Neodiprion lecontei: one gene and its partners. The main gene of each other region encodes a partner of the protein of the gene in region 3 in a complex. Links are inferred from orthologs where the notes say so. Each region holds a gene or a part of one and is shown on either strand. Other genes may lie near its edges.

What was found.
Region 1: nuclear pore complex protein Nup54 (region 3) and nuclear pore complex protein Nup85 share a complex: the UniProt entries of both Drosophila melanogaster proteins name them as parts of the nuclear pore complex. The link is inferred for Neodiprion lecontei from reciprocal best matches to the Drosophila melanogaster genes Nup54 and Nup75.
Region 2: nuclear pore complex protein Nup54 (region 3) and nuclear pore complex protein Nup214 share a complex: the UniProt entries of both Drosophila melanogaster proteins name them as parts of the nuclear pore complex. The link is inferred for Neodiprion lecontei from reciprocal best matches to the Drosophila melanogaster genes Nup54 and Nup214.
Region 4: nuclear pore complex protein Nup54 (region 3) and PCI domain-containing protein 2 share a complex: the UniProt entries of both Drosophila melanogaster proteins name them as parts of the nuclear pore complex. The link is inferred for Neodiprion lecontei from reciprocal best matches to the Drosophila melanogaster genes Nup54 and PCID2.

Annotation. Positions count from the first base shown.
Region 1 is NC_060264.1:6,092,052-6,099,565, reverse strand, and holds nuclear pore complex protein Nup85, read right to left. Parts: upstream 5,623-7,514; 5' UTR 5,413-5,622; coding exon 5,383-5,412; intron 5,278-5,382; coding exon 5,172-5,277; intron 5,042-5,171; coding exon 4,700-5,041; intron 4,603-4,699; coding exon 4,223-4,602; intron 4,144-4,222; coding exon 3,824-4,143; intron 3,708-3,823; coding exon 3,490-3,707; intron 3,406-3,489; coding exon 3,178-3,405; intron 3,096-3,177; coding exon 2,996-3,095; intron 2,914-2,995; coding exon 2,703-2,913; 3' UTR 2,157-2,702; intron 1,947-2,156; exon of another isoform or gene 1,726-1,946; intron 1,682-1,725; exon of another isoform or gene 1,369-1,681; intron 1,102-1,368; exon of another isoform or gene 783-1,101; coding exon of another isoform or gene 687-782; intron 606-686; downstream 1-605. Other genes in the region: GTP-binding protein 1, read right to left, coding at 131-311, 494-605, 687-782; uncharacterized protein LOC107225458, read left to right, coding at 7,461-7,514. UniProt on the Drosophila melanogaster protein: Component of the nuclear pore complex (NPC) that seems to be required for NPC assembly and maintenance. Required for nuclear import of phosphorylated Mad via importin msk.
Region 2 is NC_060262.1:33,074,771-33,082,793, reverse strand, and holds nuclear pore complex protein Nup214, read left to right. Parts: upstream 1-2,013; coding exon 2,014-2,175; exon of another isoform or gene 2,176-2,246; coding exon of another isoform or gene 2,247-2,279; intron 2,280-2,590; coding exon 2,591-2,884; intron 2,885-3,008; coding exon 3,009-6,954; intron 6,955-7,043; coding exon 7,044-7,242; intron 7,243-7,297; exon of another isoform or gene 7,298-7,556; coding exon 7,557-7,584; 3' UTR 7,585-7,693; downstream 7,694-8,023. Other genes in the region: integrator complex subunit 4, read right to left, coding at 7,865-8,023. UniProt on the Drosophila melanogaster protein: Part of the nuclear pore complex. Serves as a docking site in the receptor-mediated import of substrates across the nuclear pore complex including emb, RanGAP and phosphorylated Mad. Protects mbo/Nup88 from proteasomal degradation at the nuclear pore.
Region 3 is NC_060262.1:32,774,707-32,782,454, forward strand, and holds nuclear pore complex protein Nup54, read right to left. Parts: upstream 5,914-7,748; 5' UTR 5,704-5,913; coding exon 5,604-5,703; exon of another isoform or gene 5,278-5,603; coding exon of another isoform or gene 4,903-5,277; intron 4,371-4,902; coding exon of another isoform or gene 4,335-4,370; exon of another isoform or gene 4,214-4,334; intron 3,323-4,213; coding exon 2,864-3,322; intron 2,666-2,863; coding exon 1,758-2,665; intron 1,230-1,757; coding exon 1,002-1,229; intron 778-1,001; coding exon 655-777; 3' UTR 506-654; downstream 1-505. Other genes in the region: uncharacterized protein LOC107226633, read left to right, coding at 4,335-4,370, 4,903-5,277. UniProt on the Drosophila melanogaster protein: Component of the nuclear pore complex (NPC), a complex required for the trafficking across the nuclear envelope. Essential for the nuclear import of nuclear localization signal (NLS)-containing proteins in an importin alpha/importin beta-dependent manner.
Region 4 is NC_060264.1:4,179,578-4,184,125, forward strand, and holds PCI domain-containing protein 2, read right to left. Parts: upstream 2,770-4,548; 5' UTR 2,335-2,769; coding exon 2,314-2,334; intron 2,232-2,313; coding exon 2,190-2,231; intron 2,107-2,189; coding exon 1,985-2,106; intron 1,917-1,984; coding exon 1,435-1,916; intron 1,188-1,434; coding exon 667-1,187; 3' UTR 520-666; downstream 1-519. Other genes in the region: uncharacterized protein LOC107227510, read left to right, coding at 3,121-3,178, 3,306-3,415, 3,861-3,951, 4,183-4,548. UniProt on the Drosophila melanogaster protein: Required for the export of nuclear mRNAs and involved in mRNA trafficking in the cytoplasm.

The DNA of each region.
Region 1 (7,514 bases), on a different chromosome or scaffold from region 3:
TTCTTAGTACTTTCAGCATTTAGAAATCGACAGAGAAATAAGTTTGATTTACTGCAAAATGACAGGAACTCTGTTGGCATTACATAAGAATGATTTTAAATGAGGAGAAGTGAGGCAACTGTTTTTATACCTTATTTCAAGAAAATCTTGTTGGTCTAAGCGTCTTCTGACCAAATATTGTCCTATGAGTCCCAGATCCACTTTTCGTTGCCTCAGCAGAACACAGTCTGCTTCCAAAGTTGCTGCCAGAGACTGCAGAGTGGCTACAGATGCATCGTACTCATCCTCTTTCAGACCATTCTCAGAACCATCTACTCGGAAAAACAGTATATAGTTCAGAGAAAGAAGAGATGTTTTTCGGGGCGCACTAACAATGTTTCTAGTATTCTTACTACCGACAACCATATTTTCTTTTTAAAAATGGCCTGAGAGTATTTATGAAGACCTCTATGAAAGTAAAGGAAGCAGTAAACAGAAATTTTCTAAGACGCACCTTCCCCAACACCGATGTCAAATATCGTCTCACTTCCGCCATCCTGAATTCTTTCTCTTAGTCGTCTCAGTAGCAATTCGTACTGATCCTCTGTTGGACTAACAAGGACATCCTGCAAGTTTGAGCAAAATTAACTCTGTACGACATCAAGATATCTTGAATTTGAACATTTTCTTTATACAAGGTAAAATACCTTTCCCCTGATGCTAGCATAGTCCATTGCAGAAGTAGGAAAACTTTCCTTTGCCAGTATGGGCATTGTTGAAGTAGTCGATGTTGCCGACGTCATATTGGATGTCAGTAACTCTGACGAGTTTGGTGCTTATTAATTTTTATTATTCTTAATTTATTGTGAAACACGTTTTTCTTTGATTAAACACTTTTTCAATTCCCAACAGCAGTAGAATTTCCTAATATGCGAACGCCTATGCCAAATATTTTCCAATATTTAAATCCAAAGAGCCTTCGGTAAAAAACCATTGAGGGCACACTCATTACTATCTTAACAGGAATCGCTAAATGATGAAAGAGCTCTGTAAGTTGTCATCCCCACTGGAGTTTGCGTCAGATATACTTTTCAATTTAATTTGAAATTTCAATTGTTATGTCTGTAATGAAACACAAAAATGTCGGTGAAAATTTTTTTTACTTATATCAGTGATCAATTTGATATGGTTGATTGTTTTTATTATTATTCGAATTCTTTACGAGTATCGTGTTATGATGTAAACATTTCTTTCAAGTATAGTTAGCATTGTGTGTGATGTCATTACACCACTTCCTACAGTACAATACGTGACCGATAAGAAAGGTGATATCTTGTGGAATGAATATTTGAAACGTCAGTGAAAAGTTACATCATGTAGTTTTTATACCTGCATTTTTATGGCAGAGTTTGGTCCACTCGTTGGTCTCCACACACATTAAAATACTACTTACGGAATTTGTTAATCGAGAACACTAGGAAATAAATTGATATCGAAAATATGTACATCAGGTATTGTGGTCATTGTAAAATTTTTATTATTGAATGAGACTACTACCATCACTGATATAACATGTTGCAAACCAGTAATCAAAGTTATTAATTTTCGTGAAATGTCTAAACTTACATCAACATTATTTCACATATTCATATCTATGCCTATTTCTATAAATAAACATATTGTAGGGCTGCCAATGATCACCTATTCATGAAATACAAAACGGTGTAAAAATAAACAAGTGTTCACCTGTCATTATTATATGTTGTTAAAATTTTGTAATACATAAGCTTCTCTATAACGAAAAAGTAAACACTCACAAGAATTATCGAAAGTTAACAGAAAGTTGGCAGAATTATTTCATGTTGTCGGATTGGAGGCTGTCACTGCACATGAAGTTTGTTGCTAGGTACACATCAGGTGATTACACAAATTTGCAGCATGTCGTGCAACTACTTAAAAAGTCTTCGTTCACGGAGCCACGATGGCGCCACATTGCAGTTTTTTAACCAATGATGTCACTTTCCCGATCGGCCACCTTGCGCCGGAAAAATGAAACCATATATCTGGTATAAATTACGTATTAAATAATTCAAATTCAAAAAAAAATAAGTAAGTAATTAATACTTCGCTGAATATAGTTGCAGAAAACTTTCGTTTGAGTTAAACGTGTTTTTTACGTAAGAGCAAACTTCAGAGCTTCATACGGTTACTTCGTACATCTAACCAAAATAACCTTGTATAGTACAGCTTCACGTACTAGTTGCTTTTTGTGAATTTACATTAATTTTGGATTAATTATGATGCGGTTGACCTCAGCCAAGCTACTGAATACACATCCACACAACATAACGGTGCATGAGGATATACAGACAGGGAATGGTATCATTTTTAACATTTCTTTAATTAAAATTCGATGAAATAATGTTACAAAACTATATCTTACAAATGAACTAAAATACTGGAACATCCAGGGAGAGTACCTATTTCGCACGTGCATTTATTGAGGCTTATCTCAAAAATGGCAGTGATTGAGCTCTCAGCTGTATAGACGGCAAATATCCGATATTGTTTTCCTTTGACCTTTGTTTAAAGAGTCAAATACCTGCTTTCAACAAATGAATATCTGACTACTCAGACCGAATTTAATGATAAAATTTATTTAGAACCGAGTTTTCGACATAAGTTGTCAGGTTTCATTTTCGATTTGTCGTTACGAATATATATCAATGATCCCCTAAGCAGCCTTCTATATTCAACGCTCGTGCCAAGTTTCTTGCCGCTGCTAGTCGGAAAAGGTCGATTTTGTCTTGAAATTTCGGATCGTTGCCGTGTTCTTCAACAGTTTGTAGTAGTTCGAAAGTATCCTTAGATGAGAGTACAGCATCCTCTGCTTCCAGAAGCGGAATTGCATCCGTTAGAAGAATCGACCAGAAGCTGAAACGATTTGCAAATTTATTAATCACATAAACACTTTTCCGTTAGGGGGATTAGAAATTAGTCAAGTTGAGTCACTTACTATTTCGGAGTTAAATTAGAGACCAGTAACGAGACCAGCAAGGCAGCAGCATCTTTAAATTCACCTAGTCCATACGTTTGATGAAATTCACAATACTTTCCTGAAACAGGACGAAATTTTGATATTTGGCTTTCGATGTAGTTTTCGAAAACTTTGATAGACAATCAACTGTTGTACAGTACTATACAAACCAAGAAACGTAAGTCTGTCGCTGATCAGCATACAGCTTCCTAAATTCTCTAGAAGGTCTTGACACTCGAGTTCTCCGTGTTTGGCATAGTTTTTTAGAAATTGGTCCGCTATAAAAGTAGCAAACGCACCATCTTGTGCCTTTAATGCCCAGGCAAGTGCATTTCCTAGCCGTCCTTGTCTAATACACTTCATTCCTTGTATTTTGGAAACGCTGGTTACTAAAATTATATCATGAAAGATTATTCAATTTATTGAGGTCTGAAATAATGCGAAAATTGCGAGTTTATTTTCTTTATACGTACCAACATTGGTCATATGCTTTTGACGAGCAATCTCGATAATTTTATTCACTCGTGCTTCACTACCCAGTGGAATGGACTCTAACAATGCCTGCAATCTAGTTAATCCTTGAGCAGGACAGTGTTCAAAGTAGCTAGCGCCACACTGCCACAGTGAATGATGACCCATCAAAGTACTGGCATAGTCTAATATCAATGATTCATGAAGCTGTGAGGTAACACTGAAAAAACGTAATTTTATTTTACCATTGGATTTCACGTACCTTGTATGAAAATCACCAAATACAAGTATCCTGGAAAATAAATGTAATCCCATAAGAAATCAAGTCAAACTTACTTTATTTGATGCTTGTCTATGATGTCTAGCCTTCCACAGTTGTACAACAAGTTGATCAGATGTGCTGCAAACCATCCATTGTCGCTCATATGCTGAATTTCCTTGATTACTTGATGCAAATCACTTTCCATTAGAGCTAAGATTACATGATCCAAATACCTGCCTGCACGCCACTTTTCTGCAATATGATTTGCATGTCTAGCAAGTTCTGGCTGTTTGCTACAGGGCGCAGAGTAAAATAAACGTGCAGCCAATAACTCATACCATGCTTCCGTGTATTTTGAAAACTCCCAAAGAACAAGTTCTTCGCCAACGATAAGCTGTTGATAAAAAAAAACACAAAAATAAAAACTAATGTTCTTATCTGTGCTTCCAGCCGGAGACAAATTGAAATCTCACCCTCATTAGTAACTCTAAATTTCGGTCTGTAGAAAATGTTTTGCTTTCAATTTGCGAAGAGAGGTCAAATTGCCAATGCTTCCATCTCATGTTAAATTCGTTTACAGAATATCCCCCATATACATTGTAAACAGGCATTGTCCTTATAGCATTTTCAGCAGTGCCAAAAGCAGGATTATCTGCCTTGCTGTGCATAGCTAACAATGAACGAACGGTATCGAGTTTACCGTGCAAAGCGCATCCTATCGCTGCTTCCCAGTACTGTACATTATCCAAATCGGCAGCAAGACTTTTCTTTGCAAGTATTTTAGAGGCCATTAATTCTCTAGATGGAAAGTGAAATCTCACCCACTCCAACAGCTGTGGAAGTATCACATCTCCTACAAAGAAATTAGGGCATGTATGTAGTTATGTCATAAATATTAATTGGAAAATAAAAAAAGTTTGAATTAATTTTGACTGCGCTATTAGCAATACCTGGGACGACATTAACATAAAGGATCTCTGTCAGGTGCCAAACACACTCGACATTGTAAAAAATAGTCAAGTAATTTTCAAAAGTCGGTTTTTTGTCTGGCGTTGACTTTTCAACAACATCTTGCAGATTTTCTACACAGGCTCTTAATATGGACCTGTAGTGTTTGCTGTACTTCAAAAGCTCAGGTCTAAGGTCTTCAGTGGAATTTTTAATCTTCTGTATCGCAAGAAACACTCCATTGCTCTCATTGACTAGTTTGCGAAGCGCCGGCTCGAACAAAATCACTTCTTGTCGTAAGCAATGAACTTTAACCTCACAGGGTGCAAGACTGCTTGGAACATCTGCAAACGAGCCGATGGAAATATTAATTAGCATTTTCACTATAGACAAAAAATAAACCGTATACATCTGAGTCATCGATGTTGCAGAAAACAGTTTCTGTGCGGTACCCGCTAAAAAACGTAACCTCACCTTTCGAGTGTGCATTAATATGCTTGTACGCGTGAACTCCGATTTTATTTTGGCCGATCCAGGTCGCAGCCAGGCCTGCTCTTCTGCAAACGTCGTCTGGTATAGCCTGTAAGTAATATATTTGACAAAATAGCAATATATATCAGGATTGTTCCGTGAACAAAACCCGGTGTAAGTCCGCATGGGCCAATAAGTATATTGAGGTGCTTACAATTATTTGAGCGTTGCTGACTTCTGCCATGACTGAACGTGAGCTTTAGTTCACCGGTTGTTTTTGAATTTAGTACATAAATTCATCAACGAAATCGGTAACCTAATTGTTACTCACGATCATCTTTTCACAACTCAAAACGAATTTTAACGTTCAAAGCAGGAAGGTAACCATTCCGGTTTCACTGACATCTATGATTTATCGGACAAATTGAAAGTTTATAACTGTTTTACCGACGGATGACATAAGGCCTTGAATGAGTGTATCGCATCTGATTTAAATAAGATGACAAGAACGCAATAAAGTTCGTCAACAACAGTAACAATGGTTTGTAGTTTGTCAGTTTTGCGATAGTATCGAGTATAATAGCCGAGTATCGCAATTGGTGCGTTCTTATCAGTCAGTATAGAGTTTCGTAAGAGCCGTGATAGCTCTTTACGTAACGGTAATTCTAATACAATCAGAACTCTGAGCCGGCTCGGTATCAGCTCATTCGCTCTTTGCATGCCCGTGCGCTAGCGACTGACTGATATACTGGAAAATGGCTACCACCTCAGCTGTAACACGACTTCTGTTCGGCCGCCGATTGCCACAAGTTGTTAGAAATTTACCCCAGCTTACATCAACCAAGTTTTATTCATGTGAGTAACTAAATCGTCGATTATCAGACATTTGATAACATTCCTAACCCTTACAGTTATAGACCTATAATTGAATGCTGTGAAGTGAGTTGATTATTTGTGGGGACGTGGAACGATAATAATTCATAAGATTTTCACTCACGCTGTCGAAAAAAAAAAGATTAAACCACTAATCATTGTCAGACATTTCTTACTGGTCCAAACTTTAAGATGTGTAGTAATTGCTAACTAATTTCTTATTCTGAAGACGTTCAAACTAACAATAAGCATCAGGCTGTGTGCATATGATCTGCACATGTTTACGCGATTTAATCAATTGATTCGTCGTAGTTATAAAATCTTTACAATCGTAGAAATAGTGCTGCAAGTAGCAGTTACACTGAATATTGCTTAATCTGTCTTATGCAGGTTTCTACCCGGCATTTAAAAGTTCTTTCAAAGTTCGGAATTCACTCTAAACGAATAAAGCAATATTATGGAAGCCATATTCCAATCATGACTCGTCTTATTCTTGTTCATGTGTATGCAATACGTATGTCACCTTGTTAATTTCAATATTATGCCTTGTCAGGTCAATTAAGATAACCAATGTGGTAAGACTGCGTGATTTACAATGTAGTATAAAATTTGACAAAGCCGCAGTAGAAATCCTTATGGAGTTGTAAAGATACATCTGATTCTGTATTATCTATTGATTTTCAAGTGTACAAGTCACATTATTTCTAACATTGACCGAAGTTTCCAATCATAGCTTCAACCAACTCGAAAGATTAGTCGGAAACAACGATTCTGATTAGAATTGACCAATCACATTACAACCGGCCCTGAACCTCTGAATCTACTCGAAACTCGCTTACGAGGTGTAATGAACTCTGTGAAAAGATAACAAAACATTAACTATAATACACGGGTGTAATCAAAAGCTGGTTGAAAGATTCATGCCCTTGCAGTTAGCCGACGAGGGAGCGAGTTTATGAGAGACATTGCGATCGTTTAAACTAATTGCTTTTATTGTTAGCGAGCTCGGGTCGCCGCGCGCAGTCGAAAATTTGGCTGCAGCCGCTGCAGCGTCGGTGCGTGCAGAGTGCGACTTTATCGAGCGATCGCCGCGCGACCTTTCGAGCTCCTGGTTGAAGGCTGCGATCGTAGTAGAGCTGCGGCGTCGCCGAGCAAACGGACGTGTAACGAGCACGCGTAATGGCGCTCGTTCGTTGTCGGAGGTGTTGAGCTCCGCGGAACTCGAGTGTTCGATTAGTCAGTTGAAACTTGGAAGGCTGTAACGCAGTTCGGTTGTATCGCCGGGCGATTATCCCTCTGGAATCATTCTCCTGGAGCGTATACAAAAGTAGGCGTAGATTCTTCGAATTGAGTAGTCGATTAAATTATCGAACGTTTTACGGGCCACCCGGCGGTCAAAGCTCGCGCGAAAAAGCAGCGATGAGCCAGCCTGCATCGACCACTGCCGCTGGCCGCGAACGGGCGAGTAAAAAC
Region 2 (8,023 bases), about 300 kb from region 3:
GGCCCTAGGATGGTCAGCCGTTGACTAAAGATATATTCTTGAGTTAACGGGTCAGCTAATAACGCTGCCGTTCTGCGACAGTCGGATGATAAAAATTTTTGCTCGTACGTTTCAAATGCGTGTTAAAATACACTCGTAGTTTGAAAAAGCTTCGTTCTTTCTCTCCCTGTCACAAAAAAAGAAACAAAATGCTACAAGTCACCTTTTCAGATCTTCAAATCAGGATACTGCATTAAATACTGTCTCATATACGGAGCATCCATTTCATCTCGATCGAAATTAGCGCATCCGTGATGTATTACAGTTACTCTGAATTTTTTTCCATACAAACACTTTCCGAAAAACAATTCTGCTTCTCTACCCAACGTAGATACTTTACTTGCGACTAGCTAAAACAGCTAAATAGTTCTTAGAATAATTATGAATATCAATGCCATGGAATATATGTATGAGCAAGTGGTCGAGGAGGACGAAGGTGGTCGGAAGTGGTCGGTCGTGGTTGGAGGTGTTTGGAACTGGTAGGAGTTGCTAGGCGTTGGCAGGGGGTGGTAGGGGGTGGTAGAACGTGGTCGGAGATGGTCGACGGAGGCAGGGGGCGGTACGAGGTGACAGGAGGTGGTAGGAGGTGTTAGGTGGTGGTTGGCGGTGAACGGAGATGGTAGGAGGTGGGTAGAGGTGGTAGGAGGTGTTTGGAGGTGGTTGGTGGTGATTGACGGTGGTCGAAGAGGTCGTGGACGATGAGGATGCCGAGGCGGGGGCGGCAGTGGTCGGGGGACAAGGTGGTCGAGGAGGACGAAGGTGGTCTCAGGTGGTCGAAGGTGGTTGACGGTGCTTGGACGTGCTCGGTGGTAATTGGGGGTGGTTGGCAGTAGTCGTGATGGTCATTGGAGGCGGTTGGCAGTGGACGCCAATCTCAAGCTTTCAGGGCGCACTCTGGGCCCACTTGCCCGCCGTAAAGTGGTTACAAAAAGTTACCCAAGGGTATCCGTCTTTATATTCTTCAGTCAACGCTTCTGGTCCGTCCGTTGCTTGCAGCGACTGCAGAGCACGGTCTTACATACAGATTTTTGCAACGAACTGAAATTTGAGTAGTGGGGGTAGCCGCGTTATTGTCCAAATTTTTTTGCCACTACTGGCCACTACGCAGCGCTGTCAGTTATTCATAACATAACAACGTAAGGTTATTTGTGTATGAGTATCAAAAAGATAGGTTAGGGTTCCGTCAAATAATAATAATAAGCTTATGAATAACTCGTAGCGCCGCTCTTGGTGGCCATAAGTTGTACTTTTGTTTCGGACCTGAACTGATCATCCCCCACCACGTTCGTTGCAAGACCTGTATGTAATAGCGTTTTCCACTGGTTGCACTGAGTGTGAACTGAGAGCGCGCTAGCGGTAGACTCGTATTTCCAGCGTGTTCCACTGACAGCTCGGGTGCGTGAATTTAGCATTGAGCGCGTAAAATATTGCACTGAAATCGGGAGTCTGTGTCAAAGTAGTGCAATTATGGCTGCAGATCGTGAAAGAGTCGAAGTAGATGCTGTGACAGCAACCCTTTTATTAGATCTAATTTCATCTTCGTCTAGCAGTGATGATGCTTGCTCGAGCCGAAAGATAGAGAGATTCCCAAAATTTTAAATTTCATAGGAGTAATCCACAGCATGTCCGATATCGAAGTATGGATACACATTTTTTCAGCTTCTAGAGGTTAACTGCTAGGTATATTTCAGGAGATTGGGACAACTTGACTTGCTGCTTATTAATTTTTATCTTTTCAGCGGAATTGTCAATATTTTTTGCCCTTGTATGCTCGTGTTTAACATTTGTGACATTTATTTACAAACAAAAAATTACCGTTGCGTTTGTTCAATTGGCTTCATTATCACTTACTTGAAAAACTGCCAGTCGCGCAGTCGGTCAAGTAACGTCACATTATTTCTGATTTAGGAGAAATTATGATCCAGTCTGCCTTTATACGTTTTACGGCGTGTTCCACTCAGAAGGTTTGCCCCGATGCCGGGCGACGTATGCACGGAACGACTGCCCCCTGTTCGAGCCAGTGCGCACTCAAGTGCAACCAGTGGAAAACGCTATAAGACCGTGCTCCACAGCCAACCTAGCTCCTGCCCTTCCTATCCCACTTTCGATGTTTTCATCCTCATTGATTGGTTAATGGTTAGTCCAATTTTTACTCAAAGGCGCTATAACGTTACAATCAAAAACTTTATTTAATGATAATATAAAAAATGAAGGCGGCACCGGAGCCTAAGGATGTACTGGTACGCTTTTTCTACTATACATGTCTTTCAAATATCCATTTAACAATCTACAATTCAATCGTCAATCATAACCTCAAGGTTTTTTAATTCCCAGTTCAACTTAGATTGATAAAATGAATATAAACAAAAGTTTCAATTGATAACATAAATGTAATATTAGTTGCCATCATTGTGTACTCTAATTGTAACGCTACACTATAAACTATTCATTGAAATTATGGCAATTCAGAGTTATCAACTTTAATTGTACATGTGTAGTAATTAACATTTATTACTGTAGCGTATACAACTGTTATGATGCATTTTTGCAGGAATTTCAATTTAAACAATCCACACATTGGAAAATATCAGATGGATTCAGCTCAATCCCTGTAGCTTGTAGCCTGATTGCAGTAGATGGGAAACGTGGATTGATTTACACAGCTTGCGACCACAAAATCATAGTCCTGAAAAGTGGCCACAGTCTGGACAAGGAATGGAGAAAGGAATTTGTTATGCCAGCAAAAGTTACTTGCCTTGCATTTAATTGCAATTGCTCGTACTTAGCTGTTGTTTTTGATTCTCCCACAGCTTACATTTACAATGCTGCTTCAGTTGTACAACAGGTAGATTTAAAATCTAGAAATAATTTCATTTACTCCACAAAATCAAAATATGAACTGAGGATACTGTTGTGTCCGAACTTGTAATAACAATCTATCTATTTCACAACTATGTGAATATTTACAGCAATTGGAGCTCCTACGAGAGATCAAATTATCGTCCTCATATAATGTCCATATTTTGGATCTTCGTTGGAATCCTTGCATCTCTGGAATGTTATGTACAGTAACAAGTGATCACTCTATAGGCAGTTTTAATATATCATCTGACAAAAATTCATCAGTTCTGACAATATTGGAAAAACTAGAAAAGTTAGATGTGCTCTGTGTGGCTTGGAGTCCCAAGGGAAAACAATTAGTAGTCGGAAGCAAGAATGGAAGTTTGCTACAGTTGAAACCAGATTTAAAGGCAGCCAGAATCATTGCAGGTCCTGATCCGAGCATCGGCAGTGTCATTGCTCTTTTATGGATCAGCAGTTACCAATTTTGCGCTGCCTATTTAGACCCACAAGACTCACGAATTAATGTCCTCATTATAGATGCCCCCAAAGGTGAATCTCAGGGCATCTTTACTTGTTATGAAGATATAACTTATAGCGTGCCCGATGTTGAAGGAAAAGAGGGCAGTCCGCCCCGATACTATTTTGAACATATTGCTGAATGGGGATTAATTATTGCTGCTAGTAGTACCAGTAGTGAAATTGCTGTTCTTGGCTCACTAGATAATGGAACAACATGGCAGCAATGGCAGTTAGTTGACAGTGGAAGAGCTCAGCTACCTCTTGTGCGAACTAATGAAACCTTTCCTGTTGGCCTAGCAGTAGATAGAACATCTGTAAACAAGCTACCGTGGGGTGGAGAGGGCTCAACGCTTCCCCACCCTGTACCTATACTTCATATATTTGGAACTTCCGGGCAACTCTGCAGTTTTCATATGGTAAATTTAATGCCAGGAATTCCACCAGTCTGCTCTCCTCCGACTGAAACTCTTCCATTGTATAGTGAACCACACCCAAGTCTTGCTCCTACAGAAATATCATTTAATTTGGATGGCAGAGTCACCAGCACTCCACGACCTAAACAAATTGAGCCGATCATGGATCGACCAACATCAGCTGTAACCACAAACGTATCTCCGAAGACCTCAGAAGTTTCTATTCCACAACCGCAAACTGAATTGTTTGTAACAAAACCCCCTATTGAGAAAATTGAAGTATCATCGAAAGTAGACACATCACTAGTACCCAGAAAGGAACTAAAAGAGACGGAAAAAGTCAGCATAGACAGTAACGTATGTGTTTTGACATACGAGGAGGTATGCAATGATTTTGAAAAAGAACTGAGTAGTCGTAGGGAAACACAGTCCGTAGATATCGGCTCGCCAGGCGAACGTACGCAACTTATTGAAAAATCTGAAAATATGCAACGCTTCCTAACAGATTTACAGGAAACAACTACTAGTTTGACAAGTGACATCAATTACTTAAAAGCTTTGTTATTGCAGACTTTTGCCTGGCTGGAAGAAACGAAATCTAAATGCTCTTCTAAAGCTTCAAGTAATCCCCAAAATCGAGGAAATAATAATAAGCTGAAAGAATTGCAAAATCTTGTCTATTATATTCAGTCTCAATTGGAGCAAGCTGCAAGAGCCCTAGATTACGAATGGTTCGAGCATGTAAATAAAGAAAAAAATAAAATGAAAGTACCGAGGCTTGATTTCGTTCATCAAATCATGCTTCAGCATTCACAATCTATTGCCAAAGTGGAAAATTTGATTCAAGCTCAGGTTAAGAAGTGGAAAACTCTTACACGTAGAGATATTACTTCTTCATTAAATAAATCCTTGGCCGATATGTCTCTATCTTCATCCGTCAATAACAAAGCTCCTAGTGGTGCTATAGAGTACAAATGTAAAGCAATTGCACAGAGAAATTGCAGCTTTACCTGTGAGAAACAACGCACTTTGAGGAATTTGTTGAACCAAACCACGATAAAGATAATTAAAGCAGCAACCCCTTCAGAAATTCAGGATCGCTTGGAGGCAACAATATCTTCTCTGGCAATGCAAAGTCCACCCAAAGAAGTACAGAGACGTAAGAATGTCTTAATAGAAAAACTGATGCGGGAAGATGCACTACCTGCACCTCCACCTATCCCAGCTGCAAAAAGTCCCTTAGCATCTTTGGATCAAATTGTCGCCAACATTGGATCTGTTGGCATTCAGCCAAACCTTAATTTGCAGAATAAAGCACCAGCCTTGATCGGAACACCTGCTTCCACTCTACCAATCAAAACATCTCAAGTTGGAGTCAAACCTAGTAGCACACAGAATAAGTCCACAGCATCCATTTCTCTTCCGTCGATCAAAGTACCACAAGTGGATGGCAAAGCACGAATAGCTGCTACATTAGTAGCATCGCAAACCCCATCAACAGCACAGTCTGTACAAAGCAAGCCAACTTCTGCTGCACTATTTGGCACACCTCCTACACCTCATACACCTCAAAAACCCATAACTGGCATCCCCAGTGGAATGAAATCTGTGACAATATCAGAAGTATCTCCATTCACATCTTCTGCTTCTAGATCATCGGTATTGCCATTGTTGCCTCCTGCACTGATGCCAACTACAATCACAGCTATTAATAAACCTTTTTCAAAAATTGACACTCTTCCATTTAATTCTGTTATTGCTAAAACTGAGGCACAGCCAACATCTACAACAATATCTACCTCAACAACTACACCAATAGTAGTTTCCACTTCTATACAAACCATCCCACAATCCAGTGTTAGTTTTATGTCAACAGTTCAAACACCAGCGAGCCAAGCGTCGACTTATCCCATTACACTGAAAACATCAAATAGTTCAGTCACCACACAAAGAGCATTAACGACTACAACTTCGGTAAACGTAACAACGTCACAAATCGCGAGTTTTTCATTTGCAACTAAACCTGCAAGTAATACGCCTTTTTCATTCGCCTCAAAATCAGTAGCCAGCCCAACATCAAGCACAGCTCAGTCGTTGGATCTATCAGTCATGGGGTTGGACTTACAGACTTCTAATACTTCGATTAAAAACGTAACATCAACAACAACAGTGGCGGCTGGTGGCTTTTTTGGATCTGTTGGGACGTCATCACCTGGATCAATATTTGGTGGAACTTCAACTATCTTGAAGGATAAGCCAGCAAATCCAATTTTTGGGAATCCTCCTGGGTCTTCGCTGTTTGGCGGGGTCTCAGCGGGTAGTAACATAATATCTTCGTTCAGCGAAAGTGCAACACCTGGTGCGCTAAAGCTACCAGTTTTTGGTAATAGCCCCACTGGCCTAACTGCACCTATTTTTGGTGGATCTGCTGCAAACCCGCTGAAGTCTGTTTCTGGTGAAACACCAGCTGTATCCACAGCTACATCAGGATTTGAAAATTCCGCTAATTTACCATCAGCTTCAGTTTTTGGTAATGTTTCTACCACCTCCGACACTCCATCAATATTTGGAGGTAATTCTACTGAATTTTCAAGTGCACCTACTTTGGGAGGAACTACCAGTCCACCGGCATCAATTTTTGGCAAAGCTAATAACAGTCCCATTAAACCACCAATATTTGCTGGTGACTCTGTTAATTCTTCGACACCCTCCGTTTTCGGCAGACCTCCCGATGCTGAATCATTTACGTTTGGTGGTATTCCAGCTAATTCTACACCACTACCAGCTTTCGGAAGTGGTCCCACAATTTCCACGAGCCCATCAATGTTTGGTGGAGCTATTTCTAATCCCCAAACTGCATCAATTTTTGGTGGTACAGCTCCAACTCCTTCTACCTCATCAGTCTTTGGTACTGTTACACCGTCAAATCAATCAATATTCGGAGGGGCACCTGTAATTCCTACTCCTACTACTAACATCGGCTCAACTTCACCAACACTGACGGCTACTGCACCAGCATTTAGCCAAACAGCAACTTTTGGTGCCAAGCCAGCATTTGGATCCACTTTTGGAGCATCAAAACCTATATTTGGCGGCGGATTTGCAAATACTGCATTTTCAGGTGCTACACAACCTACAAGTAAGCATTTGCTAATTAGTTGATGAATATTTGTCAAAAATATTTTGTCAGTGAACAATTCCATTCAAGTAAAAATATCTGAGTTTCAGCTGCTTTCGGTGGGTTTGGCACGCCATCGCCATTAGGAGCTAACTCCGGTAGTATCGGCAGCAGTTCAATGCAGAAAGTATTTGGTGAAAGCAGTGGAAGTAGTACCTTTGAAAATCTTGCCACTCAGGAAGGAGGATTAACTTTTGGCAATTTAGCTCAGAAGCAACAAGAACCAGCAGCCCCACCACCCTTTTCAGGGTAAGCAAATTATCCTTAAAATGTTTTATGCGTTTCTGAGAAAGATATCAATACGAAAAATTAACATATTTTATTCACTCAAGTGTGCTGATTTGTATCAAGAAGAATATCGCGCTCAATTCAACTTCGAATATGTAAAATGCTGATATCTTAAAACTTATTTGATAGCATTGAGGCATAATTGAGGGTAAATACCTTAGAATATAGTTAGCTTGGATCAAAATTAAACAATAATCCCAGAATACTATGATCTGAATATCGTTACATGATTTGATAAATTCACTTGTTTTGAAATCAATTGGTTACTTTTCCAGAGGAAGCTCGTTCCAGAGTTGGAGATAATGAAATCGACTGTGACCACATCAAGATTCATCAAGATTATCCCAATATACAAGTCGATCCGATAAGTCTCTTTTTATAACATGTATGAAAGTCTTGTAGTAAAATATTTGTACGACATTGTTGAAAGTTAAGACTATATTTTTAATCACTATAGATATAAGATTTTGTATTAATTTTAGTGTCAGATGTTATGAAATTATTGTTATGGTCTTTAAATAATAATTATGCTTTTATGCGCAAAGCATATATGTTTATTGATTGTCCAAAATATCATATTCATTTAGATACCTCTTTTGATTGGCTTGGGAGAAACAGAAACTTTGACAGGCTTGCACAAGTCAATAACACATGGATCGTCAAGTGGAGGATGCGTGCAAATAGGTGACGATGGAACAAGAAGCGATAATGAAACTTCCACGTTACAAGCTTCCATCCACAC
Region 3 (7,748 bases):
GAAATGTATTGTAAATTCTGCTATTTCAAATAGCTGTAAATAGTCGCTTCATCATAGCTGTACACACACGTATATTCATATAAATGTGGCAGACTTTGATAAATGTCTTTTAAATTTTGATGAGTAACATTTTGATTTACGACATCAAAGTAGTCTGAATATGAACATGATACTTCATCATTGCAAGAAAAATTTTTATAAAGCGGGACGGTTTTGTCAGTCACGTACCCACTACAGTGTGATATATCAAAATGATAGTTGATATACCAACTTTTACACACATCGTACAAGGGATTTACGCTGATTCAATTATTCATCATCAACACACATCCGATACATTTATAAGGCGTGGAAAATATCCATTTATGAATTGGATGTGGTTATGTATGCGACGGTTCAATAAATGTGGCGAGTCTTTGCTTAAGCAATGAATTCACTTTCAAAACAGGGAGGGAAATTCACTGCTGACGGATGTCCGGCATTATTACGAATCAAGTACGGTAAATTACAGCAGTTTCAAAGAAGTTTATTACATAATTGTCCGTAATAGATAGAAAGCCACTTCCCCTCGTTTCCACCATCTCAACTTGGAAATTGCATGACCGGTGCATTTTTTTTCAAAAGACTTGACGATAATTAACGATACGCTGTATTTCAAGAGATGCTGTGACTCGTGAGGAGATCGGACATGCCATCCTTAATTATTTTCAGGCACTCCAGATCAGCGTTGATTGTAGAAATGAGTTGAGACATTCCTTGCTGTTCCATAGTTAAATACTGCAACGAAGGACAATACATATTAATTGATATTAGCGAATGTAAAGCAATGTAAGGATACACTTGTCTCGTACATCCTAAGCTGATACTGATCAGTTTTGTTAAAAACAAAAAATTAGTTTTAAATGTTGACCACAAAATTGACTCTGGTCTTGCAATTGTGATAACTTCATAATTAGGAAGAGTAAACTAAGTTTTGTACTAAAGATATGAAATATACTCACGGTTTTAATATCGTCTTGGGCAATAGGATCCATAGTATATCGTTCGTGGTTTTGAGAGTCCATATGCCGTCTCATTCTCAGTTGTGAAAGCATTTCACTGATTCTTCCCTTAAACTGTGTCGGAGCACTTATTTGCGAATGCATTGCTTCAAACCTATTTGTTAGCACTTCTTCTTCAGGTTGTAATGCTAACCCAACCTTGCGCGTTATTTCTTGACGAACCAGCACCTAGAAATTCATTTATGAAACGTATTATTACATTAAGTAAAGCAGTATGATGGTAAAAAAAATTTGACGAATCCAAATGAAATGGCCCAGTATACGGGGTAAGTAAAAAAAAATCGCACCAAATTTAGACGTGAATAAAATCCGAATGCATTGACTTTATTATGAAAATTTTCTTTTTTGCTTGAAATTAGGACAATAAACAATTTGTTTCGCGTTTGAAAATTTGAACTTCAAATCACAATTTAAGATGAAAATTAGGCTAAACATTCTTTAATAATAATTTTTTTTTATCCTCCCAGCGAATTTTGCAAAATCTGTTTTTCAAAATCGTGTATCTCAGCAAGGATGAAGATTTTCTAGATTTCCGAACACAAAACGAAAGGTTTATGTTTTTAATTTCGAGTAAAAAGAGTTTCGAAAATTGGTCGATGCGTTCGAAATTTATTCACGTTTTAACTCGGTCCGGTTTTTTTGGCCCACCCAGTGCGTAGAAGTAGAATGAAATAAAATTATCAAGATCCTCTTCACCTGTAAAACTCGGTGTTGCAGCTCGAGTAAATTTCGTCGATGTTCTTTCAATCTTGCTTGAGTTGCAGTGTGTTGTCTCTGTAAACTTTGAATTCTTTCTGCAGCCAAGTCTAGAAATGCTCTATGCTTGGCTGTTTCTTCTTCTTGGCATTTCAATCTATATTTAACTTGATTGAACCCAATCATTGGCACTGGAATATATTTCTCTGGGTTTGGATTATCTAATTGCGCTTGCTTCCATAATCTGGGATCAATAGACGACGGTGGGTTATCCAAATATTCCTTCAGTTGACTAGGGTCTAATTTAACCTGTGGAAAAATGTTTTCCACGCCCATTTGGGCCAGCTGTTGTTTTTGCATAGTCTGTGTAAAGAAACTAACTAACTCGTTTGCCGGAATTTTCCTAGACAATCCTGTCACACCTTTTTCAGATACGCAGATTGTCACGTGACTTTTATTGTCATCTGTCGATTTTATAGTATCAACAGTTAATGTTAAATTTGGTTTATTTCCGAGAATGGTGTTGAGTGATGTAATCAACGTCTGTTTTCCATCTTTTAATTCCTGTTCCTTTTTGTTGAAACAAATAACGACCAGTCCATCATTGTTATCTGCATCTGGCATACAGCTATAACCAATAGCTTTGAATCTACACAAAGGATTTTCTTGTGTCAAATCTATAGGAGGTGCCACCGACGAGTAGTAAGCTTTTCCAGTACCCCATAATGCTTGGATCAAGTTCCATCTTGCTATGGTATTATCACGTTCGTCATTAAAAAGTTGGCAGTTAAATACTGCATTATAAAGTGCTTCCGATATCGCATTCACAGATTGTTGCTGCGGTTGTTGCTGTTGCTGCTGTTGTTGCGGTTGGGTAAGAGTTGTTCCTAACCCAGTAAGACCAGAACCTGAAAAATAACGTCTTAGGTAAAATCATGTCTCTCATAGTGGTGAAGATATTTCAAGTACGGGCAATTAAAATATAATTATCTGTCCTTTCTCCTCTAGCGTTTGAATGCATTAAGATTGGATTAGTACAAGAGTTCCAGGGTGCTTGGAAAATATATTATTTCTAATATTTTTTCCAAATTCGGATTTCAGTTAACCTGTTCCAAAGCTGCTGAAGCCTGTTGTATTTATTGCAGCTGGCTTAGCACCAAATCCACCAAATCCTGTTGTGCCGAATCCTGTTGTTGTTGTGCCTGATGTGCTAAAGCCACCAAATAAGCTCGGTGCTGAAGATGTCGCCATGGTTGGGAACGAACCAAATCCACCGAAACCTGTTGAACTTGTAGTCGCAGTTGTCCCAAATCCACTGAATGCCGTAGATGAAGTTGCTGGCGTACCACCAAATCCTGCACCTGTCCCAAACCCGAAAGATGAACCTGGAGTGCCAAATGTTATCGTACTCGTGGCTGGTGTTCCAAATCCTCCGACTGTTGATGTACCAAAGCCACCGCTAGTTCCAAAGGCAGGTGCCTGTGTTGCAGGGGTACCAAATCCTCCAAGAGCTGGTGCTGATGTAGCCGGAGTGCCGAATCCAAACGATGGTGTACCAAAACCAGCTAAGATAATATAAATAAAATGAATTACTCTTCGAAGCAAACTTTTTTCAATTAAAAAACAAATTATTACTTGACTATATTTCTAAATTACAAGTGTGATAATTCTGCTGTCTCTTTTTACACATTATTCAATAGTTTGATGTGTTGGCGGGTGTGAGCGTATTGTATTATTTAATGGACTTGGTACAGAAATTAAATTCATAGTGAATAAATACCCCATTTCTTAAATCTTTCAAACTTGTCATGTAAGAATTTTAGCATTGTGCCCTAGTTGCAGATAATAAAATTATGTTCACTATTCGGAAATTGAATAGACCGGGTCTCATGTATATGCAAAAAGCAACTCATCTGAGGCAATGTAATATTCTGAAGTGTCAACCGCATCCTTGAACTTTTATTCCAGTGTATTATGAAAATTTCCGATTTACATCAGAGTTCAAAGATCAAATGTTCGCTATAAAGGCAATTGTACCAAGCCGTCAGATGTTTTCCCCAGAAATCATGGATGACGTGGTAATAAAAATCAGCGCTCGACAAAAGACAACCAGGTGTGTCTAACAATTTCAATATGTAGACAGATTTCTAGGGGAAATGTCAAAACGTGACCAAGTTTTTGATGTCAAGAAACATGAAATTAATTTTCTTCTGAAGTTCTATTTATCGAATTGTAATTCTGACTAGATTGATGAAGTATAATTCTTACACAATATTTGGTAAGACTGGTTTCCTATCTATTAAAATTATGTATCGCGAAAAATATAAAGTAGCACAAAAGACGAAGATTTGCCTACGATATAATGTTTCTTTCATCATTTCTACGTATCTCTGTGGTGGGAAAAACCGACCACGAACATCCGGTTAAATGTGACTTCAACAAGTTGTCGGAAGCTGATACTTTCCTTGTTCCAGCTTTGAGGGATTCTCGGCTGCTCAAGCATCAACAGGGTTTAATGACTATAAAGCTGTCAGTGAAGGTAAACGTAGTGTGACTATTTATTTTTCGCAAATCAAGATGAGCTTTTCCAAAAACGTAAAACACCAACGGCTGGTACGTATATCAATATTGTACTACTATTATCATGCTTTATAATCAACTAAGCTGATTCAAAATTTGGATACCATGTAGATTAACAATGTGTTTGTTGACTTTACAATACAATTAACATAAAATTACCTCAGTTTCTCATTCACCCATTGCAACGCAATAAGAATAATGGAAATACTTTACCATGCTTCCAATTCTAATCCAAAGCAACTAAATCATAACTCATACGATGAACACACCCATCCCTATCCACGCCAAGTGAGTACTAGTCCTGTTGACGAAGTTACGGAGTTTGAAAATGAACTGGGAACCACAGGGGAATCATTTGGAGTAATTTAAAGTTCCCTTTATACATATTCGATTACCGTCATTGTCAGAAATTCCGCACTCCTTGCTCATTGTAACTAACCAAAGTTGATGAAACACACATATATATACATAATAACTTGTGTGCAATACTGATGTGATGAAGATTTTTTGCTTTGTTCTCAGACTCAATATTACAATATTTGGTACTTTATTATTTTATTTCCAGGATACTATAGGCGATATGTCCACTATACTGCATGAACTATCTGAAAGCACCACGCCGATTGTTACTACTCAGACTACCACCACCATGCAATCCATTGCATCTGGTCAAAATGGATCTTCAGACGAATCGAGTCAAACGATATTGATAGTTTTGGGATTGCTCTTAGGAATTCTAGTGCTAGTATGCTGCGTTCTTGCCTGCATACTTGCCAGACTTAGGAGGAAAGGTTTTTGCACAGTGCAAGGTAGAAATCAAGAGACGTGCGACGAAGAGTGCCCAGGAGAAGATATGGATCTCGGACAATCAACAAAGAATTCAGAAGCATCAGTGAAACATATGAATTCTCGGTCGTCGGATCAATTGCTCAAGAAGTAACCTAACGCAATAGATGTTTCATACTCTGAGGATGATTTTATAGGTTGGAGATTATGACTGAGCTAGGATTTGGAATAAAAAATGTCATATTAACTAGAAAGAGCGGAGTGTCGTGGTCAATCTTTGGTAAAGCTTAAACTACCCAGACAATTCGATCGCTCTCTACTGCCTTAAACACATCGTAGTGCAATTCGTAAGAACGTAGATACTTTTTTCGTGCCGATCACATCAGCGAATTTAGAACTAATAAGTAAAATTTATTGTTATGAATTTGTAGTCATTTAGGTTATTGTTTGAAAATACACCAAGTTCTAGTTCATACTTACTCGGTTTCGCTGCTGTGGCTGTGCCTGAAGCTTGCGCCCCAAATCCAAAATTTGGTGTTGCTGAGGGGGTAGAAGTCCCAAATCCAGTACCAAAGGACATTTTGATAATTTGTTTATTTAAAGAATTAGTACAAATTAAGAAACATAACCCCAAATAACACTGGCTAATACACAGTCGGAAGTTCTATCATACAACACGCACACACGAAAGTGATATTCTATGTATTATTCGACCAGAAATAAACTCCCAGCTGTTAATTGGCCGTTCGATCAACTCTGTGATATGATTGGCTCGCAAAGCACGCTTGCGCTCTGTAATCGTTCGTCAGGTCTACGGCGTCGTTTTGTTATAATGAATATCCCCGAGCAATCGAACTGCTTACTCGTCAGTGACGTCACTTGCGCGCAATTTATTTGAATGATAGTAATCACGGTACTATACCTATATCATGTACAGATATTTGAAATTTGGATAAGATTGAACTATCAAACTCCGCTTTTACAGATTGATACCACTCTTGTATATGTTTATTTATGTATAACCAAGTATTTACACGCACCGTTGTCTGAAGACTTATAGTCTTCAGTCAACGCACGCACCTTGTACTACAATTATTAGACACTTTGTTAATAAATCATGACTTTTGTGCTTTTTTAAATTTGCGTTTTTCTCGACTAGTTACTAAATATATGACGAATTTATCTCACGTAATAGTAAGAATTATATTTTTTTGAAGCATCTTCCTATCGTTGGCTCTAATGATTTGAATTATGAATTGAAGAGTTACTCTCATTTCAATAGCATGATTTTACAGCAGGGAGGTTTTACAATATTTTCCATAATTAGAGAAGAATAACCACTTAATTTAATTCTAATGGAAAAAAATTTCTACTGTATTTGCGTAGTGTCCTATACATGAAATTTAATTTCAGGTTCTTGAAAGTAGACAAGGATATTTGTACATTTACTTTCTTTGTTTGCCATTATATGCTAATAAAATAATACTGACCCATCAAGCTCATAACTCGACTGTTGGACTTGTGTCACCAGGACCTGTGGAATTTACTAAAGTATGTCCGATTAAATAAAACGATTAAAAGATCCAATTAAATTATTTAAGGATGTATAGGCGTGTGAATCAAAATAGTGCTAGGTCAATGAAAATTATACAAATTGTTCTCACTTTTATTTTAAATGCCTAACTGTTTTCCATAAGAATCAGTGTAAGATCACGAAAAATTAAAAGTATAATAACTCCGGCATGATTTAGACAATAGCCTAAAATTTTAAACGGATATTCAAAATAAAAGTGAGAACAATTTGTACAAATTACGTCTTGCTTGATTTATAAATCGAAACATAACATGCACAATCGTTATTAGACAGTACCTCTCTCCTTATAGCGGAGGCTATAAGAAATATTGCGATTGCTGGAGAAAACGTCCTTATTTAATCTTTCTCCATCCATGGCTGGAACGTCACGTAATTATCCAGTTTTCCGAAAAAATTTTCTTGCACTCTTTGTTTGTCTTCCACTGTAGTTTCCTTCTTCTTTTATTTATATGGTTAATCTCCGTTCCCTTCTATAAATGGACTCGTGTCTGTGACAAATTTTCAATGATTCTATCAACGGCACCATAATGCTTATTGTGTAATTTGCGCAACCTAATGTTGGCAGAAAAATATAAGTTTAAGAAAAAATCGTAAGATACAGCACAGCATTATTGAATTATACTCGCTTTATTGACACATATTGTCTTATAAGAAAACGATCTGTTCGTCTAGTTCCGTGGGGTTGAAATATTCTTGTAGAATCTTTCCGAATACTTCTATTATAATTATATTGTTACCGAACGAAATAAACGTTCCAGTTATTTTTTGCGTACATCAGCAAATGAAGTAATTACCTCAGTTGTTTGCTCGAAATTGTACAGATTGCATTACAACAATAAAATGATATCGTAAAACAATATTTTCACAGAGTTTGTTATGTAACAGCCAACATTTATGTAATTCAATTTCATGTAGAAACACTCAATAAAAACTCCTATTTTCTATAACGTACATATACATGTATTAATATATATATTTTACTTTCTTCAACGTTTGATATTACTTATTTAAAATTTGTAAAACTCCAACAG
Region 4 (4,548 bases), on a different chromosome or scaffold from region 3:
TCTTATTTATACGATCAATTATCACGATAAAACTGACCCTTTATTATGCCCTATTATACAAACGACAGACAAATACTTTCGTCAATTTTCTTACGTTATTACGTAAAGAATTTCTGTATTGCCTACATTGCCATGCAGTACACACGCGTTTGAGTCTAGTGTCAGATTCAAATATACTTTTATGACGCCTTTATGCATCGAAGAAAATTTTTAATCTTCTCTATTTGAATTGTTAAGTAACAAAAAAATATAAAAAACTTGACAGATTATTTTATACCAGTTAAAGTAATCCTCCCCCTTTCGAGACTTGTCTTTTAAATTATCTTCACGATTGCGAAAAAATATGCTTAAGCTCGAAGTCAGTTACATAATTTGAATTTTCGAACGTGTACTCTTCACGAATATATATTGATAGTATTCTAAAATTCGTATTATCATACCATTAGCTTTTATTTCATTGGCAAATGGTCTGACGCATCTTCTGACGTTGGACAAGAGAGAAACAATAGAAATGCGTACTTGTATAACAAGAATATTTAATTCATACCTACAATTACGGGTTTCGTATAAAAGGTATGTATACACAACAGCGGTTTCCTTAACGATATTAATTATAGTATCGTAATCCACTTCAAAATTCACAGAATTTGATTATCGTATTTTTATTCAATTTGAATTCAACGATGACAGTTGCGGGAACGGATTTTGTTTTGAAATGACCAATTTTTTGTGCTGATGAGAAATGTAACCCCTGATTTTACCCTCGTAAATTAAATTGGCTACAAGGCATTCCGTTTCGTCCATATCTACATCGTCAACACCGTGCATTTCAAGAGCAGCCAAAAGACTGGCTACGGGTATTTGATGGGTATTTAAAACGAGATAAACCTTTTTGAACAAATTTCTATACGTAATGAGCTTCAGCTTTTCAACTATTAAGTAAATCCCAGCACTAATAAAGAAGATCTCATGTTTGTTCATCACTTCCTCCAAGCTGCGTAGGTTTCCTCGTTTAACAGCTTCGACCAACTCCCAAAATTCCAATAGATTGTACTTTTCTAACAATGATTTTTTTGGCATATAGCCCAGCAGCATTTTGACGGGAACTAAATACGTCAGAATTAAACGTTTGTTCTTTGCTGATTCTTTGTGGCAACGGACAAAAGCGTAGGTCAGATATTCGTCCGCTGTAACACAATTTAATAACAGGCATTAAATAAATCCACTCTTTAATTTCATTCTAAAAACATCGTTACCAGTTAGATAAAATTAACATCATCTGTATTATACATTTTCAACATTTTTTGATTTAGAAAAGCATAAGTGAAACATTTTTTAATGCTGAGTAATTTAAAAAAAATGAACAATAAGCTACATTTCCAGTTTAAAAGTGACTGTCAGTGGAAAGGCCTGCAACTGACTATTGACGCTTACCAGCTGTGTAATCACTATCGAAAATGGCTTTGCGTCCCATAAAAAATTTATACGTAATTTTTTGCGCGAGCGCGAACTGATCCTTAAGACCGGACGATTCAATGATCCTGATTAGAGGTTTGCATAAATCGAGTTTGTTTATGCGAAAATAGACCTTCCACAGTTGGTTAACCAATGCGAGCATTCCCCATCTTTTCGTGTCATCTTCAGAGTTCCTGTTGTCAGCTGCACAAACTCGAAAACAGCTCATTAGGCACTCAGCACATTTTTCAAGCACCTCACCGGACTTTTGATTTTTACCAAACTTGGATGCTTCAGCTTTAAGGGCTAGACGCCTGAGATCTAAGCACATGGAATTCATTACTGGCAACATCCAATTCTCGTCTTTTTGTAACTGGAGTATCTTTGCCAGTGACTGAATAGCTGCACTCTGATGAGCATACGACGTTAATGCATCGTCTTTATTTAATGACGATATGACCCTGGAAAATGTTTATCAAAAATTTAATTATTTTTGCTTAATAATATCTCTGAAAAATATTCTACTTACTTTATATGGTGTAAAACCAGGTCGTCAAAGGGTGCTGATAAGTGTTCCATTGCTTTTGTCATTGCAGCATCGCTTCCAAGTTGAGGATTTGTCGCATGATTATGACTAAGCGACAGCAGATCCTGGATTAAATAACATCAGGTATGAATCAGGAAAATCTTCGAATGCATAGTGACGATTATGGGAAAATTACAAATGTACTTACAGCCAGAACGTCACCGTCCTGATTCAACCAAGCGCGCCGAAGCTGTAAATAGAGAAATTATAACCTCACATCTTTCAGTTGATATTAACCAGTGATTGGATGGGCGGTTGAACAATTTTTTTACCTGCATTATGTATGAATCCATGATAGATTTTTATATTCGGTAACCAGGTTAATAAAGAACTGCCAATCACATCTGTTGAAAGTTGTTTTCTCGCGAAATTCCAGATATAAATACGTTCTGTCTATACCGTGTTGACAGATTACAATTCACAGTTTATCAAGTTTATTTTTTAGGTTATGGAATGGTTCTGAATATCAATCCATAGTCGTGTTCTTTAGTACCGGTATAGCCTGTTAAAACATGCCGACGGTGAGACGTATTGTCGGTAACATTATTATCGATCCGAATCCCATCTATGATGTTGATATTTCAAGAAGAGATAGTTGGCGATTCGTGTCTCATACCAAATTTCTTTTAAAACATATTCTATTACATCCAAGATTGTTAGTGGATCGTGAAAACGTACGTGAAAAACTAGGGTGGAAAATCGAAAAACTTCCATAACCTTCCGTTCGTGGTTTTCAAATCTACACATGCCGCTACAATATCTGATTGCGTTGTGCGCAAATGGCGTGCGCAGCTTTGCATTTTAGTTCCTAACCAATAGGAATGCCAATAAAATAGGTAATTCGCATGCAGCGTGCACTTGGTGGCGTTGGTTCCCTGCTTCACCGGCATTCCTATTGGCCAAGAACTTGGCACCGTAACAACTCAGCCTATGGTTATATTCCCTTCCCATTCTACGGGCATCGGATTAGGTTAGGTTAGGTGAGGTTTGAATTCTGAACGGTTGCAGCTGGTGTAAATTACATATATATTGTATAAATGAGCAGATCAGTAGGAATGGTTTAATCAACGAGAAGAACAATGTCAGTACAAAATATGACAATGAATCTATCGAACAATGCTCGATGTTACACATCAAGTGAGTATAACGTATTCAATACTAGAATATATTTTTTAAACGTAAAATAATCGAACTAGTTCACCGACGTTAATCTGTTTTGTTTCCTCTCATTGAGCGTCGGAAATAATTATGGAACCTTTTTCAGAATCCAGCGGCAAAAAATATCCAATATTTAGTATCCGTGACCTTGTGCCAGGTCACACTGGACCGGAAACATCTGAAGCTGCTATGGCTCAAATAGCCAAACCTCGATCGGTGGGTTTAAAATTCAGGAAATTTTAAATGTTAACAGAATCCATTTTTATAAAGTCAATTTTGCTGAAATATCCAGAGTAAGAGTTAATAATATACAATTTTTTACTTTCAAAGCTGACTATCAAATAGATGCGTAGGTTATAGATTTTCCATGTTTGTTTTTGTTCTTATTTTCTGTCACGTTCAAGTATGTTTTCAATTTCATGTTATGGTGTAGATAATGACGAGAAATAATTGAATAGATGGTGTTTATAGTTCGAATTCTATATTTGGACTGTCTGCTATATACATTCCAGAGTCCCATCGACCTTTGACTTGCGGCTCACTTACACTTTGCGAATGCTCTAGACACACTCTTATACATGTACACTACAAATGTAATATTAACAGAATTGACTGTCGAGAGTTAATAGTTACAACTGTATATTTTGTTATTAATACACAGGAGAGAAAATGCCAACCAGTGAGAATATCTATGGCTTATTTCAATGATCCATCGGACCGCAGAAATACTGGATCAAGTCGCAAAACTCCTGGTCAGTATTGCTCGATAGAACGTTTCATATCTAGCTGGTACAGATAAATAAATATTCAATGCAGAGAAGTTTGTTCAGTTTTTAAAATTTCTTTTCAACTTGCATACATGGATTCTTGGAGGTCTCATTTTTTTCCTTTTCCTTTTATAAAAATTGTAGCTTACCTTACATTCTTGTACCGTACCAAATGACTAAGACTGGTAATGGTAACAAGTTTCCTTACTTCTGCAGGTCGACCATTGCCGCAACCAATTCGTAATATTCATAAGCTGTTTGAATCACCCAAAAACAATGCCAGAAAGAGACTCGATAGTTTATACGATTCTTCGAAACGAAATGAAAATTTAAATCATTTAAAAAGAAAAAGTCGACTTCTGATTGGTAACAAAATTGTGCCAAGGTTACCTGATAGCATCGCAGCACGTGAAGCAGAGCCCACTCGAAAACCGAGCACAGTTAATCCTAACGGAAATTTGAGATGCAGCAGACTATTACCACCGGGATCCATAACGAGTTCTTTTATTAATAAGCGAAATTCAACGGCAGTAAGATCTTCGATTTATAAACCTGTAAACCATGTCCTTGTTGATCAGAAAA